Tamandua tetradactyla: one gene and its partner. The protein of the gene in region 2 interacts with the protein of the main gene of each other region in a biochemical or structural test. Links are inferred from orthologs where the notes say so. Each region holds a gene or a part of one and is shown on either strand. Other genes may lie near its edges.

What was found.
Region 1: the proteins of PBX1 (region 2) and PKNOX1 form a complex in vitro, tested with the Homo sapiens proteins (2 studies listed by BioGRID). The link is inferred for Tamandua tetradactyla from reciprocal best matches to the Homo sapiens genes PBX1 and PKNOX1.

The regions. Positions count from the first base shown.
Region 1 is NC_135336.1:100,389,897-100,400,892, reverse strand, and holds the start of PKNOX1 (homeobox protein PKNOX1), read right to left. Parts: upstream 5,150-10,996; 5' UTR 5,021-5,149; intron 4,180-5,020; exon of another isoform or gene 1-4,179. UniProt on the Homo sapiens protein: Activates transcription in the presence of PBX1A and HOXA1.
Region 2 is NC_135330.1:17,806,776-17,816,933, reverse strand, and holds the start of PBX1 (pre-B-cell leukemia transcription factor 1), read right to left. Parts: upstream 4,498-10,158; 5' UTR 4,051-4,497; exon of another isoform or gene 3,812-4,050; 5' UTR 3,761-3,811; coding exon 3,570-3,760; intron 428-3,569; coding exon 354-427; intron 1-353. UniProt on the Homo sapiens protein: Transcription factor which binds the DNA sequence 5'-TGATTGAT-3' as part of a heterodimer with HOX proteins such as HOXA1, HOXA5, HOXB7 and HOXB8. Binds to the DNA sequence 5'-TGATTGAC-3' in complex with a nuclear factor which is not a class I HOX protein.

The DNA of each region.
Region 1 (10,996 bases), on a different chromosome or scaffold from region 2:
TCAGAAAAGGACTGGGGACAAGAAGATTCAAGAGTTTTGCATACTATATCTCCAGCCTTTTTGTTCCCCCCAGTTATTCATCTTTTTTAAAAAAGCAAAGATTTAATTGAAGATCCTTTCCCAAACTAAACCTCTTTATTAATAAACCCAAGAAAGCTGTCAAAATAGCCAGGAAAACTGTCAAGAACCTAAATTCAAAAGACACCTTCTCCAAGATACCTTTTGAGACAGTAAACGACACATCACCACCGTTCGAGGAGTTTTCATTCTGCATGTGAAGACGTCTCAGGCACCAACCGTGTACAGATGAGCCCTCCCAATCTGTCTTCTAGCCTGGGCTTCATATCCCCTGCCCCAGAGAGATGTGCAGTCAATAATCCACTCTGAGGAGCACATTTGTCAAGAAATCACTTTATTTTTCAAAGAAGGTGGGGGGAGAGGTACCACTGGAAGTTCAATATTTCAAATAAAATCACAGATATCAAATTCTGTTAAAATCAAATCTCTGTACAAAAAAACTATTTTCAAACCCCAAAGGTCTACATATGTCCACTAAAGACAGAGAAAAATTCTAATAACAAACATAATTCAGTGCTTCAGAATTTGTTTTAACAGACTCTGATCTGAGTGGTCATTACAGCTGGCAGAATTTAAATTAAAATATAAACTTCTTAAGACCACGTTTGTCATGGCATCAGTAAAAACTGACACTTGAAACTTTCCTCATGTACTTGGTACTAAGGGTGGATGGGCCTGGTTTATGGAAACCAGGAGCCCCAGCCTTTGAGTCAGGGCCCCTTTTCACATAGACTATCTTTGTTTCTAGGCACCATCTGTGCCCAGGGACAAAGCCCAGCAGGAATGGCCACCAGTGTGCCTGTGCTTCCCAACGGCTCACACCTTCCTCACCCCAGGCCCCCAGCCCAGTAGCTACCCCAAAGCCAGGAAAAAAACAGCTTTCAGATGTAAACTAAACAGAACCACATCTGGCACAGCCCTAAAAGGTACAGGAATAGAGCAGAATCACAAAGTGGTTTGAGAAGAAGTCTTAGATACATTCCTTAAATGGCAAACGGTGGGTTATATAAATACATAGAAATATACATAATAACATTACCTAAAAATGCCACACAGAGAGCTTAACTGATCATGTAAAAACGTATGCATAAACACAGAACTAAATTTAGACAAATGTTCAAGCTTAACAAAATTTGATATTGATTACGTGTCTTTTTTCCTGTAAATGCCTAATTTTTTTTTTGGCATTGGCAGGCTCCAGGATTTGAACCCAGGTCTCTGGCACAGCAGGCGAGAACCACTGCCACCGAGCCACCGTTGCACTGCCTAAATTCCTAAATTTTTTCAATACAAACCTTGAGAGAATATGTTAAACAACACCTAACAGAGCCACACACACCCTACATTAAGGCGTGTTTGGGGCCACGCCACCCTGCACGTGCTCCGAAGTGTGCCCTGGGAAGAGGAGCACCCAGGGGCCCTTGGGGGCTGAGAGGGCTGTGGGGACCACAGGCTCTCTCTCAACAGGCAAGGCCGAGGCCGGGCAGGGGCTGGAGCCTTCCAGAGCGCACCTGCACTCCCAGACCAAGGATGATGACCGTCCCTCGGATCCCCATGACCCCTTTTCCCTATCACTAAGTGATCCTGATCTCCAGGGCCTGAAGAAAGCCTGCTCCACGTCCCCGAGACCTGAAGAAAGGGCCCCAGTCCAGTCTCCCGGGTGGCTTCCCTGGGTACAGTCCGCTCAGCTGGAGGGTAACCCCAGAAAGCATGTGGGGAACATGCTTTCTGGGTGACGGGATCCCACTCCCCCTGAGCAGAAATGATCTCACACAGGGAGGGATACTAGCCATGCCTGTCCATCAGGTAACCCTAACCCTAAGGAGGGAAAGAGAAGGCCTGGATGACAGTCCCATGGGGGAACCCATTTTAGAGAAAGTCCCAGTACAATAAAATGAATCCAAAACTTTACTAACTCAAAGACCCTCAATCTCTCAACCTCAAGTCATCTGTCTCCAAGTTTTTAAAAAGCTGCAGAACCTTTCCCCAAAGAAATCTTTCATTGACCAGCCCTGCTACATATAAAATGGCTAAGACTGAAACACTGTTTCTGCCCCTTCCAAAGTCCCTGAGCTGTGTTCTGTGAACCAGTACTTCAGGGAAACAGGAATTTTAAGCCATTTCAGACTATACATTTGCTTAATTTCGTGCTGTGGATTTTCCAGAAACCATCACTTTAAACCTCAGAAACAAGGGGCTGTTTGCTGAAGGCAGGCGGCAGGCTGGGTGCTCCGACCAGCAGGACCAGGATGGCAGGCCAACAGGGTAGGTATACTGAGGCTCATCTGACAGAAAGAAAAGCAAGGCCCTGGGCCAGCAATCGTAGCCAGGCCTGCTGGCTAATTCCATCAAAGGACTGACGCTCCCTGCCCCGAAATGTTTTACAATGTCCACCAAATGAACTTTTTCTAAAGTATATTACCACCTTGAGGGCCTTCTTAGAGTTTTTGCAAAACCCAGAGTAGTCACCATTGGGGAACCCCACGTGCCTACTGCTACTCCCACACCTGCCATGGTCACCTGTACCATCTGTGCAACTATTCTACTCGTTTGAGGAAGATAAAAGAGAAGGGCACCTACATTTCCCATGAGTAAATAGACTTATAGTGCAGGGGCTCTTTACTTGGTATCTGTGACCTGGAATGAGAAAAACTATCAGCTGTCTGTGTGCACTAAATGCCAGCTGAAAGGCTGTGTTCTCCAATTACAAACGCAGACCGTAAATGCCACAGCTTTAGGAGGACCTGGGACTCTTCCCCTAAGAGAAATCACAGGCATTTTCATAAAACATTAAGTTGTTTCAGAAATTTCAAAATATCAGTTATGCTCATCAAACTCCAAAATTATCAGATCTGCTACTGGATCTTGTCACTTGGTGAGTTAATAAAGAGCACGGTACAGTAATTTATCACCAATGTGTTTTCCAATATTTTGGTAACTGTATTTTTCAGTGGTAAGTAGCTTCCTTCTTGATCCTTTTCATTTTAGTGTTTCTCTGAAGAGACAGAAAGAAGCCTGAGGGAGGTGGGAGGGAGAAGTAAAGTTTAGGACACCCCAGGGGGCACACTTTGCATCACTTTAGCAGTTTCAGGCCTTTCCTTTTCTAATGTTTCAAATGCAATTATGCAACAAAAGTGAACGTTGTAAGTAGAAAGCTACTATTCATATGTAATACTATTCTAAACAGTTACAATACAGTGCCTGGGTTTAAAATATCTATAAAACAGAGGAAAGGAATCTCAAAAAAACACTTTGGCCCTGGTGTCATTAACAACTAGTCTGTTAAATCACAAGCTTAAAACGCAAGTCATCTTTCACCCACCATGATTCATCAATTCCAAAACACTTAAATCTCCGAAATTTTGTGGGGCTCCTTCAAAGGAAAGCACTGTCAGCGGTATCATTCTAGCTGCATACACAAGAGACTCATTGTCTCTTTGAGTGGCAGACTCAATGAAATAAGCGAGCCAGATATCACCCCCCACCGTAAGCAAATTCAGGAAAAATAGTAAAATGGGTGGGGGGGCAGATCGGAGGCAGCCTGCCTCGTCCAGACCACTGTACCTACCTGAGATTCAGGACATTACCGAGATCTACACTGGCAAACGTACAGTTGACCTCAATTCTTGCTCTAATATTTAGCGAAAGCCCCTAAAGTTACACTTAACTACCGTAAGGGGGAAAGCAACCCCTTCCTAAGGAAATTCGGTCACTCTCATAAATCAACGAATGCTTATACTCTAAATAACTACGTTAAGCTGCTCTTACATGTGACAAATCTATTCTGGAGCGCTGCAAGCCTGCGCCCATGCACCGAACACGCACTCCCTTCCGACCGGCCTCCGCAGGGGCCAAGCATCACAGAGGGCCTCCCAGCGGGTCTCGGGCACCATCAGGAACCGGCATTCCAGGAGCCCGCGGGAGGACAGAAAGCAGACTCGAGCTTCTCAAGCCTTTTCAGGTGACTCACGATTCCTCCCTAAAGGAACGCCCGCGAGCCGCTCGGCCAGGCCACTCCGGACCCTGCGGTCATCCACCCCAAACTGACGCCGCGCCTCACACCTCTGTAACTAATTCCACAAGACCAGCCCGACGCTCCGGCGGGACAGCCCCCAGTGCGACCCCCGTGCACCACCCCGCGCCCCGAAAACGCTCGGACCCGGCGGTGGCCGCGGGCTGCATTCCGCGCGCTCCCAGGGCCGCAGGCCAGGGTGGGACGCGAGGGGAGGGGGAGCAGGGGGGAAGCTGAGAGGAGGCGACCTACGAGGGGGAAGGGCCCTGCGAGGAGAGGAGGGCTGCGAGGAGGGGGGCTGCAAGGAGAGAGGCACCGCGGGGATGCGTCCCGACCTCCGCCCGGCGGCCGCCATCTTCCCGCCCCCACCCGCGCGCGAGCCCGCGACCCCCCCCCACCGCTACGGGGACCGCGAGGCTCGCGACCCGCCTACACCCAGGCCCGGGCCGGCGCGCGCCCCCGCGGGCCTCTCAGCCAGGCCCGCCCAGCCCGCGCGCCCCCGCGCGCCGCCCGCGCCTGGCGCGCCCCCGTGCACCGCCCTTCCACCCCCGCAGGGGCGCGCGCCGCGCTCCGAAGGGGACGGTTAGGAGGGCGCGCCTCGCAGCGGGCCCAGCGTGGCGGCGCCTTCCAGAAATTTCCTCCCACCTCAACCCTCACTTAAAAACAAACTCGGCGCGACCCCGAGTGGGTCCCGGCGTGGACGGCGCCCCCGCCCCGCCGCCGCCCGCACCCCTCCCCCACCGCGCCCCCCTCGCCCCTGCCCCGGGGCGGCGGGTCAAGTGCGGGGGCCTGCTTGGCGTCCCGCCCCGCCGACAGCCAGGCGTCGGGTGGCGGCGGGGCGGCGGGGCGGCGGCGGCCGGTGTGATTGATAGGGACGGCGGCGGCGGCGAGCGGCGGCGGCGGCGGCGGAGCGGTTGAGTGACAGCTTACCTGGGTGCCAATCTTCATCACACTGACAAGCGGCTGCAGCAATCGGGACCCGCAGTGCCGCGCCCGCGTCCAACCGTCACGCCGACGCCGGGCCACGCGACACAGCCTCGCTCAATGGGAGGAGGGCGACGCCGACGCGCGCAGCATCAATATTCACAGAGGGGGCGGGGCCTTCCAGCGACGCGCCCCGCCCCGCGCCCTGCCAGACGGCGGGCGGGGGCGGGGCCTGCGCTGAAGGGGCGGAGAGCGCGCCGGGGGCCTGGTCGGCGCCGGCCCCACCCCAACTCGCGCTGCAGCCGGGCCACGCCCCCTCCGGCCGAGCGGGCGCGCGGGAAGGCCCGCCCCTCCCCGAAGGCGGAGATACCCGTCATGACTATGCAGATGAGGGCGTGGCCTCCAGAGCGTGCCGCGCCCCTTTGCCTGCCACCGCAGCTCGTAGTTGCTGCCCGGCCGAGAGCGGCGGGCGGGGCGCAGATGGGCGAGACTATCTTCCGCGGTCGGGGAGGGGCCAGGGCTGGACCGCGGGCGGCCGGTAGTGTTCCCGGCCCGCCCTCTGAGCCTCCGCAGACCGACGCGTCTGTCCGGGCCCGCTGTGCGCTGGGGACCTGGGCTGGGTCCCGCACCCCGCGGCCCTTTCCGGTCTCGGAGGCCGCGCGCCTGCGCCGGAGTCGGGGCCGTCGGAGTGAGCACGTGCGCGCTGCTGCGGAGCCCGGGGCCGGGGCCGGGGCGGAGGTCGTGCGGGCCTGCGGACTAGCCTCGGCCCACGCAGGCCCGGGGGCTCAAGGGTCCCGGGCCGGGAACGCCGTCTATCCCCAAGGCGCGGGAGCTTCGAAGAAAAAACCCAAACACATCTTCTTTGCATATTTTCGTTTAAGTAGCCAGCCATTCCTCCTGCTTTCCGCCGAGTTTCTACCAAAGATCTGTTACTCTTTCCCCGAGGACCGTGTTCAGGTGTGTGAATTAAAAGGCCGTGTGTAATTGTCGGTGGGACTAGGCGCGTAGAATTCTGCCTCTCATCAGTTGCACTAGGTACAAATTATAGGGCTAAAAGAACTGTCTCGGCACTTAGATTTGCAAAACGGGTTTCCAGAGCTCATTGACGTGATTTCATCTAGAGATGAGCAGTCACATCTTTGTGCTCCTATATTTATCCTGATATTTCCAGCCCTTGCCTCACCAGAGAGGGATTCCAATCCTACCTGTGCTGGGCCAGTTGAGCCTGCCCGGTGGGCCAAACAGGACGGGCACCGCGCGGGTCGTGGAGGGTAGGCAGGCAAAGAGGCGGAGACGCCTTGAGGGGCACAAGAAGTGACTGTTGCCTAGTGCCAGCCTTGGCGAGGGAGCACCCGCTCTGGGCCCGGCCTGTCCCAGGTGTTGGGGGTCTAAAGAAAAGGAGAGACTGGACCGTACCCAACGCAGGTGACCGCAGTCCGGAAAGCAGGCTGTGACCCAGACCTGGCCAAATTCCCTACATGCTGCTTGGCCAGCTGGAGAGGCGGGAGGGGCTGGGGGAGGGCATGGCTGTGGTTGTTCTTAAGGTGGGTGAGGAGCTGGAGGGGCGTGGATAAGAAAAATGAGCAAGACAGCCATGTAAAAGTAAGGGTTTGGGCCTGGTTTTCAAGGCAACCACTTTGGTTAGCTAAACTGCTTGGGTTTGCAGAGGTGTGTGGGGACAGGAAGTCATGAGCCATGAGTGGGGTGGATGATCCTTTTAAAAATATGACCTATCCAAAGAGCAACCCAGGGAATCTTATGAATGACCCAAAGCTTAAATTAGACTTGCCAACTTTTCATTTTGCCATAGTAGCTCAACCCCAGCTGCCCTGTCCCTGGCCGGCTCTGCTGCAGCCACCACTTGCCTTGCTGCTCCTTGGTCACACCAGGCTTGCTGTTCCCTCACCCGAAACACTCTTCCCAACGGCACCTCAGGGCACCCTCCCACCTCCCCATAGCCTTGGTACCAGTATCGCTTTCTCAGAAGATACTCACTGTAGTTTTCTAGGCTTCTCAAGCAAACACCAGGATATGGGAATTTATTTGCTTATGATTTTGAGGCTAAAAGAAAGTTCAGATCAAGCCATATCAAAGTGATGCCTTCTTCCTGAAGACCCACTGATAGGCCTTCTTGTCTCTTGTGCCATGTGACACGGCACCCAGTGGCCGTGGCTGCTCTCTCTCTACTTTTTCGAGTTTCATTGATTTCAACTTTTTGCTTCCCATGGCTTTTTTTTTCTCTCTCTCTCTCTTTCCTTAGCTGAAGTAACCTTTCTAGGACATGGTGGGTACAACTAGTGCTACTACAAGTGCTAGGGAACTAATAATGCTGTGTAACAAATGGCCACAAACTTAGCGGCCTGGAACGACTTACACTGTGATCTCATGGCTTCTCTGGCTTGAGATCAGGGCATGGCTTAGCCGGGCGCTCAGCCACAGGGTATCCCCATCAGGCCACAGACAAAGCGTCAGCCGGGCAGGGTGAAAACGAATCTGTTTCCAGGCTCACCCATGGGCAGGGGTCAGGTCCTGCGGCCACTGGACTGCGGCCTCGTTTCCCCCAGGCCGCTGGCCATTCTGAGGCCCAGCCACGCGGCCTCCACACTCTGCAGCTGGCAGGACGTAAGGGACAAGCTTATGTAATCACAGAAGTGACACCCCATCCTTTCTCTGTATCCTGAGGGTTAGCAGCAAGTCCCAGGTCCCGCCCACATGCAGGGGGAAGGATTGCTGAGAGCGTGAGTGCCAGGGAGAGAGGGCCCTGGGGGCCCGTCCCACAGCCTGCCCACCACAGGTGGCGTTTTTTTCTGCTGTGTAAAAGAGGCAGTTGTGATGGAGCCAGAAGAGCCTTGGGCCTGGAGTCAAAAGTCCTGAATGTCAAGAGAGCCTGGCTTTGCTGGTTACTGAGCTCCAGTTTCCTCCATCTTCAAATAGTGATAGTGCGGCTATCATGGGATTGCGTGGCGGAGGAAAGGAAGTGGCGGGTGGTAAGCACCCAGGGCCCAGTAGACCCTTGGGGGTCAAGGCAGCTAATGCCGTCAGCTTCGCTTCCCCAAGGACCCCATCAGAGTGCAGCAGGGAAATGGCAGTGCAGCCAGATGTGAGGTTTATCCATGTTAAAAGACAGTTAAAAAAGAAGTCATGCCTCCCATACAGATATAAAATGAACACATGGCATGAATTTTAATGAATTCATTAATTAAATGAGGGAACAGGAAGCTGTTGGAGCCGACTTAAAGGAGAATGCAAAGAACAATAAGATTTATGGATCAGGAATATTGGCATGCACTTGCCAATTGTGCAAAACTGGCCTTTGGGTGGGAGGGTTGGTGAGGCTGGGGCCAGAGCTTGTCCCTCCTCCATTCAGAACCCATTTGCATGTCCACAGACAAAAATGATTTGCATTATCCTCATTTCTCTCCAAAGTCAATGAAGGGCTACAATCGGAGACCCCAGAAGAGTGAGCACTCAGGACTGTGGGGTTCCCCTCTCTGGGGGACGGAAATGTTTGGGGAATGGAGGGTGGTGATGGTGGCACATCGTGAAGATAATTATGGTCACTGAATTGTGTACTTGAAAGAAGTTAAAGTGGGAAATGTTAGTTTGTATATATGTTACCATATATATATACCACAGAAGAAGCAGAAGAATGCCTACTTGCCCACTGGACACACTTAGTACTATTTTTTGTATGTGTATTCCAAATTTCCTACAGGATCTTGGGGCCTAGTGGTTGAGGAAATCCTAACCTAGAAGCACAGCTGACCAGGCAGGACTGTCAGGGAAAAGAGGTCCTGCGCTTTGATCAAAGCACGTGTGCCGGTTTGAATCTGTTGTGGACGCCAGAATAGCCATGTTCTTTAATAATCCTCATTCAATATTGTTGGGTAGGATCTTTTTTATTGTTTCCATGGAGATATGACCCACCCAGTTGTGGGTGGTGACCTTTGATTAGACGGTTTCCATGGAGATGTGTCTCCTTTCTACCCATTCAAGGTACAGTTGCTTACTGGAACCCTTAAAGAGGGAACCATTTTGGAAAAAGCTTCAGAGTCACCAGAACCAACAGAGCCCATGCAGGAGAGACCTTTGGAGATGAAGAAAGAAAATATCCCCGGAGAAACTTCATGAAATGACAAAAACAACAGAGAGAGCCAACAGAAGCTTTAGGGTCAACAGAGAGAGCAGAGACACGGATGTTTAGAGATGCTTGGAGCCTAGCAAACATTGCCGTGTGTTTTCCCATGAAATGTTAAGCCAGCCAGAACCTGCAGAGAGCCAAGGGAAACCAAGAGTTGAAAGCCAGCCCCAGGGAAGCAAAGTGGAGACCCCCACATGGACAGAGACTGAAAGCAACAGAGCCCAGAAGCAAGGGACCAGCAGATGCCAGCCACATGACTTCCCAGCTGACAGAGCTGTTCCGGACAGCATCAGCCTTTCTTGAATGAACGTGACCTCTTGTTGGTGCCTTAATTTGGACACTTCCACTTCCGTAGAACTGTAAACTTATAACTTATTAAATTCCCCTTTTTAAAAGCTGTTCCAGTTCTGATGTATCACATTCCAGCAGCTTGCACACTAACACAGCATCTAATGCATACGTCCTTGCTTCGGGAGAATTCTTAACTGCGTCCCTTCCCACGGATGCAGGTGTTCCACAGTCCAGTTGGAGTGAAGCTTTCGGACAAGTTAGTACAGGTCCACACATGCCCCTGCCGAGGACACTCAGAACCGGTGGGCTATAACCTCAATCCCAGAATGATTCGGCCTACTAGGGGTGTCCCTTGGTCATTAACTTAAAATCTGTTCATCAGTAAAATGTTTATGGGGGTCCACCCTGGATAGAGCATGGTGGTGGGTCCCTGGTCTCCCATGCTTACTGCCCACAAGGCTTGATTTACCTGAAATTACAACCAACAACTCAAAACACTGCAATGGAAACAAAGAACACTGGGCATTACATTGATTGTGCAGGGTTTTGGGCAACTTTCCTAGTGAAAAACAAGTTTGATCCCACCATCTCCCCAGAACAGCCAGGTGGACATCTAGAAGCTTCTCTATGTGTCTCCTCTTAGACAGCATTTGCTTCTTCATGGTCTCAGCTGCCAAGTACTACCCACGACCAACTGCTGCCCAAACCTCAGACAACCGGTTCCTAAAACTGGGAGGCCTGCAGAGATCAGGAAATTTTTTTTTGGGGGGGGGGGGGTACTAGAACAGATGCCCCAACTGTAGTAGCTACAAATGGCAGAGCAGCCATGCTGCCTTCTTGCAACCAGCAACTTTTCAAAATGGAGTACTGTTTTAACTCTCTAATTTAAGAATGGGCCAGTTTCTATACTATATTCAGGCAAAGGATGTTGTCTATGATGTCATTTTTGTAAAAATATTTTTCCTGTCAAAGCCACAAAGTAACAACAGCTGGATCCTCCACAGGGCTGAGTAGACTTGGTCCCCCAGCCTGCTGCCCAGTGTCGGGGTCCAGGGATGTTGGTTGACAAAGCCCTCTCTCCTGGAAGCTTCCAGTTTCTTCTGTTTGGGTATTCCTTACTGATCTGAGAAAGAAAGGGAACTGTCAGAATCACACTATGCTTTGGTGTTTGCTACATGTGTAGGGAGTTGAATGAGGTGTGTTCCCCAAAAGATTTGTCCTCCCAGAATCTCAGTACGTGACCGTATTTTGGGTAAAGGTCTTTGGAGAGATAATTAAGGGAAGGACCTCAAAATGAGATCATCCTGGATTATGTGAACCGTAAAGCCAGGTATGAGTTCCTTAGATGAGAAGACAGAGAAGAACATATGGTGACAGAGGAAGCAGAGATTGGAATTATGCAACCACAAACCAAGGAAACAGGGATCGCCAGCAAACACCAGAAGCTTGAAGAAGTAAGGAAGGTGTTTTCATTTCCTGGGCTTCTCAGAGCAAATACAATGAATTGGGTTGGGTTAAACAATGGGAATTGATTCAGTTTTGAGGCTGAG
Region 2 (10,158 bases):
TAAATATGGGACAAATATATTCCTTCAGGACATGGGGTTTTTACTTTCATAATTTTCCCCCAAAGGCACAACATTTTATAAAATTCCCTTCAGAACCTGTATTATTATTTCAATTTCAAGTAGGCCAGGAATGGAGAAAAGGAAAATAAACCAGTTACACTTGATAATAATTGTCAAGGAAACTTAGTGCATTCTTTAAAGGAAGCTGGGCTAGAAGTTCCTATTGAAAAATGCGATCAGTCTTGATAGTACTTATATTCTGAAATTTTAATATTTAAATAATGGGTTAGTGTTTGCTGCTGAGTGAATCAACTGACAAAGAAAATGCTTAAATACTGAAATCACATTCCTACCTGTTTTTTCTTTGATTTCACACAACACATTAAACAAGGCAGGCTTCATTCTGTGGCAGTTTAAAGCATGTTTTCTGCAAGAAAGAAACAACACGATAGCTTAGGTAGACTTTCAAGATCAAATGCTGATAATGCACCAGGGAAGAAAATTTAAACATTTAGCCAAAATTATATCCCAAGCGTAACTCTGTGGCATGCTTCGGTTGTTTTTATGACTTAATATGCGAGTCCCACCATAGAAAAAGAAATACTGTTCATCAGTAGGGAGAGAATAGGGATTTAACTGCAGAACAGAACTAACCTAAATTATGCCCATTTAGACAAAGTTGTTGTTGTTTTTTAAGTAGTTTAATCAAAGTGGAATTCTTAAACCAATACTCCTAGCCAAAGCAATGAGTACAGCAAGGCCAAATGCATGTGTTAACAGTTCTGAATAATCTATGCAACCACCACAGCCTAGGAGCCGTCTGCCTCCCGGTCTGTGTGTGTGTTTTCAAATTTAATTCATCCATGTGTTCGAATTCATTCCGCAGATGCCCCTGTATTCTCATAAACACAAGATGCTTGAAAGGTCTTCTGTGTAGAACTGTCAATTTATAAAATTTCAGTCCCCAACTTAAAGAGTATGGAAATGCATTGCCAGGGGGCAAACATACCCATATGGGGAATAAATTCATTTCTCGGTGTTCACATTATGCCTCTTGTGCACACACTGCCTGTTTGCAGGTGTTGAAATTCAATTATTTACAATTAGAATCTTGCACCCATTGGGGAAAAAAATAAATACTATTCTGCCTTTTAGATTAGTGATTTACCTGATTCTTGCATGTGTTTGAATTCAGAATGCACCAGAGGAACAAAACAATACCTTTTCCTTTATTTTATTATAAAATCATTTAGCAGAAGGATATTGTTTTGGAAACAAAATACTGGTCCTATCAGCTATTAGTCAAGGGAATTCTGTTAACTAAAATGAATGTGTAAAGATAAATGGAAATCCTTGGCTCTCAAAACACATGCAATTTATTTTTAAACCCTTTGAAAGTTAAAAAATAGATACACATCCTCATGAACCAGAAGCATACTGTAAATAATGTAGAGCAGAGGTTTAACAAGCTCAGAATTCATGACTATCCAAATAAACTCACAGTCTGTGTCTAAAATATTAATGATTTACAGAGTAAATCATTAATATACATCATGAAGGTATGACTGGAGAAAAAGAAAAAAGGACATAGTATTTGCTACATAGAGTTACATCGTTTAACCAAAAAGAAAGCAGACTGGTGATTTAATCAGTCCTCATATGGAATGAGAGAAAGGGCAGAAAAGACTTCTTTAATGTACTCAAGACCTCTTTTGTGATCTTTTAAAATAGTTTTCATTAATTGTATTCTTAAACATAGGCCCAAGTGTAAACAAAAATCCCTGCACAGCCTTACACAAATATTCCATTTCCATAACATACAAATGGGGTACTAGAACAGAGAATTTCCCTATCCCCAAATGGTCTGATCTTTCTAAGCATCCAGGCCTTTAAAAGGGGGACCCCCCCAAAGCCATGTTTGTCCTCAGTTTCATAAAAAATGAAGGACAACACATCAGAAAAGTAGTGTGTAACCGTTTTTACTGGCCTCTTCCACTTCACAAACTTGCAAATAATCCAGAGTATTTTTCTGGATCAATGTAATGGAGAAATCTGTTCCAATTCAAAAGAGAACAGGTAATAAAATTCACAAAGAACAGCAATTAATTTCTGAAAACTTTTCCCCATTAAAAAAAATTAGAATAGTTCGAGTCTTTGAACATTTCCAAGTTTTCGAGCACCCGTAAAGCTCAGTACTTTTGAGTTTACATGTTGCATGTGCTTACAGCTAAAATAAGACTGTAATTCATGCATTCATGCTTTTTACTACCACTTCTCATTTTCTCAACTCAAACTTCTATTTCCCTTAAGACAAAATACATATAATGATGTAATGATGTCTTCTACTACTATAACTAAGTCTATTTGCGATATAGGAATGATGTACATATGTTTAGAAGATTTTCAGAATGAGGAGAATACTTCTGAGATTTAACAAAGCTGGGTAATTGAATGGACATATGTGGTCATTAGTTTTTAAAATTCTCCCTTTTGAGCTCCGCCTTGGACAAGCTGTTAGTAGGTTGCCACTTAGTCTGTTTTATTTGAAAGAGAATTTACTGTAAAATCCTAGAGTGGAGGACTATATACCTGGCGGTGGATTAAGTTGGGAAGCTTCACAGCTTCTTTTTCCTTAATGAAGATCTTCATGCCCTACAGTATTGAAATACATAAAATTCACACATGCTTTCCTTTTTATTTAGTTGCATTTTAAGCCGTGCTGAAGAAAGCATGGGGAAAAGAGCATGCTTAATTTTTATCCCCCACCCCTTTTTAAAGGACCATACAGAGCTGTCCGTGTCACCCAAGGTTAGTAAACCGACTCAAATTGAGACAATAAAGTTAAACAGAATTATCTCAGTCTCTTAGACCGAACAAATATGTCTAAATGCAAAATTGTATTCTCTTTCTTTCCACTAGTTTTTTTTTTTTTGAGATAGAATTAAGTGAAAACAAAATATTCTCCGGATAGCTGACAACTATTGACAAAGAAATGCCCTGATTTTTGAAGGGGGGGGAATAAAGGGGGAAAATATCATTAATTTTGGAGGGGTAAGTCAAGAAAGAAAATTGCGCTGAATTAGGCAAGGAGACAACTAAATTTGCAAATAAAGTGTTCCTGGGACCTTTTATTTGTAATGTAACGGAGTCCCTCAATAAGAAGGCATGGAATGCTGCTCAAAACTTGACAATTCTGCTTTCTCTGATACTTTTTTTAAAAGCAGTAAATAGTGCCGAGGGCCGCTTCTGGATCAGTTGGCAGCATTTTCAGCGTCCCTGAATGTTTTTGTGGCTATATATGAGTATTTCTATATTCATACACACACATCTATCTAGATATATGTATACACAGCCACATCACGGCATGGGCGATTACACTTTCGATAACAACGCTCCTGCAAATTTTACTCCTCCGCCATGTAGCTGCTCGTCAAAATGGGAAAAGAAATAACATTTAAAAAGAAAGCGCTGTGGTGATCGCTTCCCATTGTTTCCCCTCAGCGAGTGGGGGAAAAACAAACAAACAAACAAAAAAACCCAAGAAAGGAAAAGAAAAGCCTCCATCTCACCTGGCCTGCGCCTCATCCAAACTCTGGTCTGTGATGGTCATAATTTGCTGTAAAATGTCTCCAATGTCCTGCTTCCTCCCGCCCTCCCCCTCGGTCCCTCCGGCCCCATCCTGCAAGTGCTGGGACAGGCCGGGGTGTCCGGCCATCCCGACCCCAGCATGGGAATGCATCAGCCTGGGCTGCTCGTCCATCTCCAAAGGCAACGGCGGCCCCGGCTCTTCCTCTTCTTCTCGGCTTGGCTCCTGGAAAGCACCAAGGCTTTTTATCCTTCAAGCTGTCTTCAAATCCTTTTCAGGATAAACAGGGAAGGAGAGAAAAAGAAGACCAAAAGAAAAAAAAAATCCCTTTGCCTCTTTAGAGGATGGTGGGAGGATGGGGAGTGGGGAGGGGGAGGGGGCGTGAAGGGGTTGCGGGGTGAGGGTGGGGATAAGGGCTGGCGGGGAAGGGTGTTGACTCCAAAAAAGCAAGAAAAATAAACCACCTTCCCACTTGGCGAAAAGAAATCAGAGCTGGCTTTTGGTTTCCCAGTCCGGTCTCCTTTGCAAAGCAGAAATGGGTCCCGGCGCTTAAATCTGTAGCTTAATCCTTTTGCAAATATGCATTGATCGGGAGAAAGGGAAGGAAGGCAGGGGGATTGCAATGCAAACTTTCCCCCCCCCACCCCCCGCTGCCCCCACCCCCACTCCGGGCCAGAGTGATCTCAAAGGGGGTGGGCTGTTGCAAAAGCCAGATCTCCCCCAGCCGCGGCAGCAGGCAAAGCACAGGCTCTCTTCTCCTCCGTGTCTCTGCAAACTCCAGCAACCCCGTCAGCCTCCTGCTTTTGTTTAGCTCAGGCTCAGGACTCCAGAAACATATACAGAAAAACCACAGCCTGAGAGGAGGAGGAGGAGAAGGAGGAGGACGACGAGAAGGAGGATAGGGGAGGGGGCAGAGGAAAGGGGAGAGGGGGCGGGGACACCAGGAGGCGGGGAAGAGGAGGGAGGAGGGCGTGCGGAGCCCCGCCCCCCTCCGCTGATTGGCCATCAGAGAAAAGACGGGCCCCTCCTCTCGCTACTTTCCTCACTGCACCTCCTCTTCAGCCTCCTTCTGCTCCTCCTCGCCGGGCGACCTGTCAATCAGAGTTCAGAGGTGGGCTGGGAAGGAGGCCGAGCTAATACCAAGTCTCCAGGCCTTAAAGGTGCAACGGTACCGTAGTTCCAGCTCAATTAGTCACTTTCCACTTTTCTTTCCTTTCTCAGATCTCAGCACATTTTGATTTCGGCCTTAAGGCAAACGTAGCTCTACTTAATTGCAAACGTATAAAATTAACACGAAAGAACACGGTCGAGGGGAGATTTTTTTTTTCTGCCCGGGTTATTTTGGCTTGTTTGTTTTGTTTGGAGCTGTAACGTTGCCATTAAAAACTTGACTCTTTTAAATCCTTAGAACTCATGGAAATTGTTGAGAGCAAACATTTGACAGTATGAAGGAGTTATAAAAACCAATTCAACTGTTAATATGACTAATAATGATCTCTAATAAGCAGCAGATGCAATAATAGATAAAAACAACAATCACAGTAGAGTTAAGAGGAATACTGAACTGTGACGTTTTGTTGCATAAAAACTAATTGGGGACCGTGAAGCTAAATCATGCTGAAGAAAAAAAGATTATGAAAATAAGTTCCCCAAATGAAACTAATTCAAACATTTCTCTCTGTTCCCCCCTGGGGGAAATTAGTTATTGGCTTAAATACTTAATATTAAGAAATGCATTATCACAGTCCAGTTCTAGTTTTTAATATAGTTTAACAAGCAACTAGGAGAAGAAAGGAATTGACATTTATTGAATGCCTACTACGCACCAAGTAATTTACATGAATTGTCTTACTTTATCCACAAGTCATCTCTGTGAGATGAACTATTGAACTATTATTTCCATTTTATAGAGAGGGAACTTAGAAAGCTTAAGTAATTTGCCCAAGGTCCCACTTTTATTAAGTATCAAAGCTGGAATTCAAACCCAAGTGTGGGTCTCTCCAAAGGGTGTGGCGTTTGCATTATACAACCAGCCTTAGTCTAATGGAAAAGTGAAGAGTGTCAAAACTAGTTTTAATGTATTTATTGCCCATCTTGTATGAAAAGAGACTTCAGATCCTTACAAAGATATATATTAGAACAAGATGACTCAAATTGAAAATGGGTAGGAAAGAATAAGGAAAAATAAGGATAACATGGAATCAGGAAAAGAAATGCACTTGTTGCTAAAGTCTTATACTCTAACCCTAGATAAACCAGAAATTTGACTCTTTTTCATTAGGCAGGGCAGAAGGGGAAATCTGTCTGGTTGTACACTCACAATGGCCATAAGATAAAATAGAAGTGCAATTACTCAGGAAAAGCCCAGCATATTTTGGAATGTAAGATATTCTGTTGCTTGTCCTTCCCTCTCCCTAGATGGCAAAGGAAATGTATTGAAGCACTGCAAACGTCAGTGTTCCCAGTCTGCAAAATGGAGTGCAGTCTTGCTGAATGCTTTGAGATCTCAAATAAAATGTTATTCTTTCATCAATCCAGCCTCTTTCCCAATCATTATACAAAACGAGTTTGGCAAGATAAGGGGCACTTATGAAAGCTTTTTGAGGCAGTTCTTAATAAGCTACTTGGCACTTCTTCACATGAGAACATTCAGTAGTGAGTATTAATTGTAAGACAATGTCCTATTACTTTAGGACAATTGTTTTATTCACATACATACTCGTGTTAAACTATTTGTTTTATCAACCCTAAACAAAAGTTGGGCACAAAACTGTATGCTCAAATCACACATCACAGTGAGTGTGAGTTAGCATAGCCCTTACAGCAACGGAAGTTATCACATCATAAAAGAAGAAAAGGAAGTCAACCCAGAACCTGTAAGAAAGCCATTGTGAGCAACTAATTCAAACTGCAAGCCTCATAAAAGCTCACAGGGCAAAAATTGAGAAAAGTACCATCGATATACAAAGATTTTTATTTCTAGCAACATTTTATTAGGGAGACAAGAAATGTATACAACAACAATAATAATTATTATGGTTAATGTTATTGAGTGCTTACCATGGTAGGGTATTATATTCAAGGTGGTCTCTTAATTGAATCAGGACAGCTGGCCGTAGTAACTAGGCTTTTAACCATTATCCTATGGCACTATCCAAATACATTTCAGTATATAATACATGCTACAGAAGTGTCACCATGTTCTAGAAGTCCTATAAGGGATTAGAAACAACATGATTGGGTGATTAGAAATTGGTTCCAAGGTAGATCCGAAGAAAGAATTGGATCTGGAGGACAGGCTAACGAATTTGACTGTCGCACAGGGTTTCTGTTGGGCACAATGAAAAGAATATTAGAAAGGTATGGTTGTGAAGACCTTCAACATCAGAGTTTGTGCTTTAGCTGGTAGACACTGGAGAGCCACTGAAGTGTTTGCTTTAAACAAGGAAGCAGAAAAGCATGTTTCAGGAAGACTTACCTGTTTGCCCAACACAAAATGGTTTGAGTAGGGAAAATTAAGTAAGGCCTGAATTAGGACAGTGACAGTAGAGATAGAAAGGAGAGGACAATCACAAGGAACATTTTCAAAGTAGAGCCAAAAGATAATTTATTTTATATGGGTGGGAAGGATAAAGGAAATATTTTCAAACTTGGTCAAGAAAGATGTGGTGGCATTAACAGAAAATTATGGCTATGTATACAATTTGTTGAGTGCTGATTGTGTTTCAAGCACAATATGTACATTATCACTAAATTTTAACAGTTGAGCACAATTTCTACAACTTCCCAGTGAGGTTATAATCTCCATTTTGCAGAGGAAGAAACCAAGTTTCCTCAAAGTTGAATTACTGGACAAAGTATGGATGTAACACTCTCTTATTTTCAATACATTACAGAAAATGAAGTTAAGAGAAGAAACTATTGTAGGTGAAACAGAATAAAAATTAGAATCTTCTTCTATTTACATTAAGAAATCTCTAAAATTATACCCCGAGGAAAAACTTATACATTCAGTTTCCTTACCTTATAGGTTGTGACAAGGGATGGATAATGCTATTTTATACCTTCCATATCTTAGCTGTGCCTTAATTGTAATAGATGTTTAACAAATCTGCATTGAAAGAATGAATGATGCCAGTAATCATGCTGTATTTCTTCAGACTAGTAACTAAAGCCCTCTGAATCAAGTTTTAAGGACATGAGTCATTATCAAAACTTGGCCAACTAGCAAAGTAGTTCTCAGTCTCATTCTCACATGTTTACAAAGTCATTTTACCTTGTTGACCTGTATGTCAAATATTTAGGAAACCCGAGTATTCTCTTTGAAACTTCCTTACAAGCCCACTACTCTATATTCTCATCTTTGTTAAGAGACAAAGAGGGAAGTGCATGAGGAGTGTGCAAGGACCAGTTACTATTCCCCAAGCAAACAAATTGTTGCAAAGAGATGGGCCTCCTTGCATGTCACATAAATAAGTTCACCACCACATGATCTTAAATCATCTAATCACATGTTCATCTATATATCTTTAGGAATATATTTGCTTTGGCCTCTAAATATCTGAAACTCTGCTATCAACATGGGAAAATAAATTCTCTGAGGGTCACAACCAGGGCTATTAACCAGAGATAGTACTGAGGCAGTTGGTATTCAAGGATTCTTGTGTTTCTCTTTCAGCTACTCTTTTACCCCCTTCTTCACGCTTTTCTTCAGCTTTTCCACTCTGTTCTCCTCCTTCATTCCTCTTGCTCTTCCTTTTTTTCTGTCCAAACCCCTTCATCTTTTTCACAGAGATCTGTCCCCTCCCAGCTTATTCCTGTTTCTTTGCCTCATAGGGCAGGCCATGAAGCAGTGCTGGGAAAGGATATTAGGGCAGAGATTAGAACATAAATGCGCTTTAGGAGCTCTGTGACTCCCTGGAAATTATATATAAAACTTACTGGTATGTGATGCTGTGCATTATTTTTACAACACGGTCAATTTATCAGAGTCCCGAGAAATTTCTGGACCCCCCAAAAGGTTACATCTTCTAACCTTGAATGAGGAAGTAAAGTGGTACAACTCAATGCTGCATTGGTCTGGGGAAACTGTGCAACTCTTAGCAGGTGGGGTTTACAAGGGATTATCAACCTCTGTTGCCTAAACAGAAGTTCAGACTATAAACAGTCCATTAGGAATGGAAAGTGAATGATAGTCAATTCAATACCAATATAATGGCTGAGAGCCACAGGTATCAACCCTGGAATGCAAATCAAAAGAAAGAGGGTGGAGTTGCCGCAGAACATTAACATTGTTATATTGTTCCAGGCACTGGTAATATATGACAAATTGGATTCCCAGATTTCAAAGAATTTGCATCCTAGTGTAGAAGATAAACAATAAGTAAATAAAGAAATACATAACCTCAGGGGCTCATAAGTGCTATGAATAAAATGAAACAAGATAAAGTGACATAGAGTTGGGGAAGTAACACCAAATATGGTGGTCTGGGAAGTCCTCTCTTAGAAGTTGACATTTGGGTTAGTCTTGAATGATAAAAAGCCAGATATGCCTATATCTTGGAAAGGGCAATGGGGTGGGGTGGGGGGATGGAAGAAGGGTGGGGAGACCTGACTGGCAATGTGTGTGTAGGGCCTGAGCTTGTATAATTTGAGAGAAAAAAAGCCAGAGACACTGTAGCATAGTAAGGAAGAGAAAAAGCATATTAAGCTAAAGCCAGAGAAGGAAGCAAAGCCCAGATAACATTTAGAGTTTTAGGCCATTGTTAGGAGTTTGGATTTTATTCTAAATGCATTTGAAATCCATTGGAGAGTGCTAAGCAGAAGAGTGACATTTGACATATATTTCACAAATATTTGTTAACAATATATCACATGCCAGGTACTTTCTGATCGCTAGTGAATATGCCAGCAGTGAGTATGCCAGGCACAGTCTCTGATCTCATGAAACTTCAATTCTAGTGTGTTATAGATTGAATTATGTCCCCCAAAAGGATACGCTGAGGTCTTAACTCCCAGTACCTTAGAATGTGACTTTATTTGGAAATAGGGTCATTTCGGATGGAATTAGGCAAATCAAAATAAGGTCATACTGGAGTAGCAGGGACCCCTGATCCAATATGACTTGGTGTTCTTAAAAGAAGAAGAAATTTGCACAAGGCAAAAAGACAGAAAGAAGATAAACGTGTGACACCCGAGGCAGAGATCTGAAGCCCACGATTTCTGACAAACTACCAGAAGCCAGGAGAGAGGCATGGAACAGGTTCTTTTCTAGAAACATCAGAGGAAGTATGTCTCTGCCAATACCTTGATTTTAGACTTACAGCCTACAGAATTGTGAATTCTGTTGTTTTAAACCACCTAGTTTGTATACTTTATTGTGGCAGCCCTAAGAATCTAAGACATAGTGGAACAAATAAATTAATGCAAACATCAGAGAATGATAAGTTTTCAAGACAATGACATTGGAAGGAGGACAGAAAGTAGCCTGGGAGGGGCTTTAGATTGAGTGATCAAAGAGGACAGGCTGAGTAGGGATATTTAAGTCCTGGCATGAATAAATAAGGAATAAG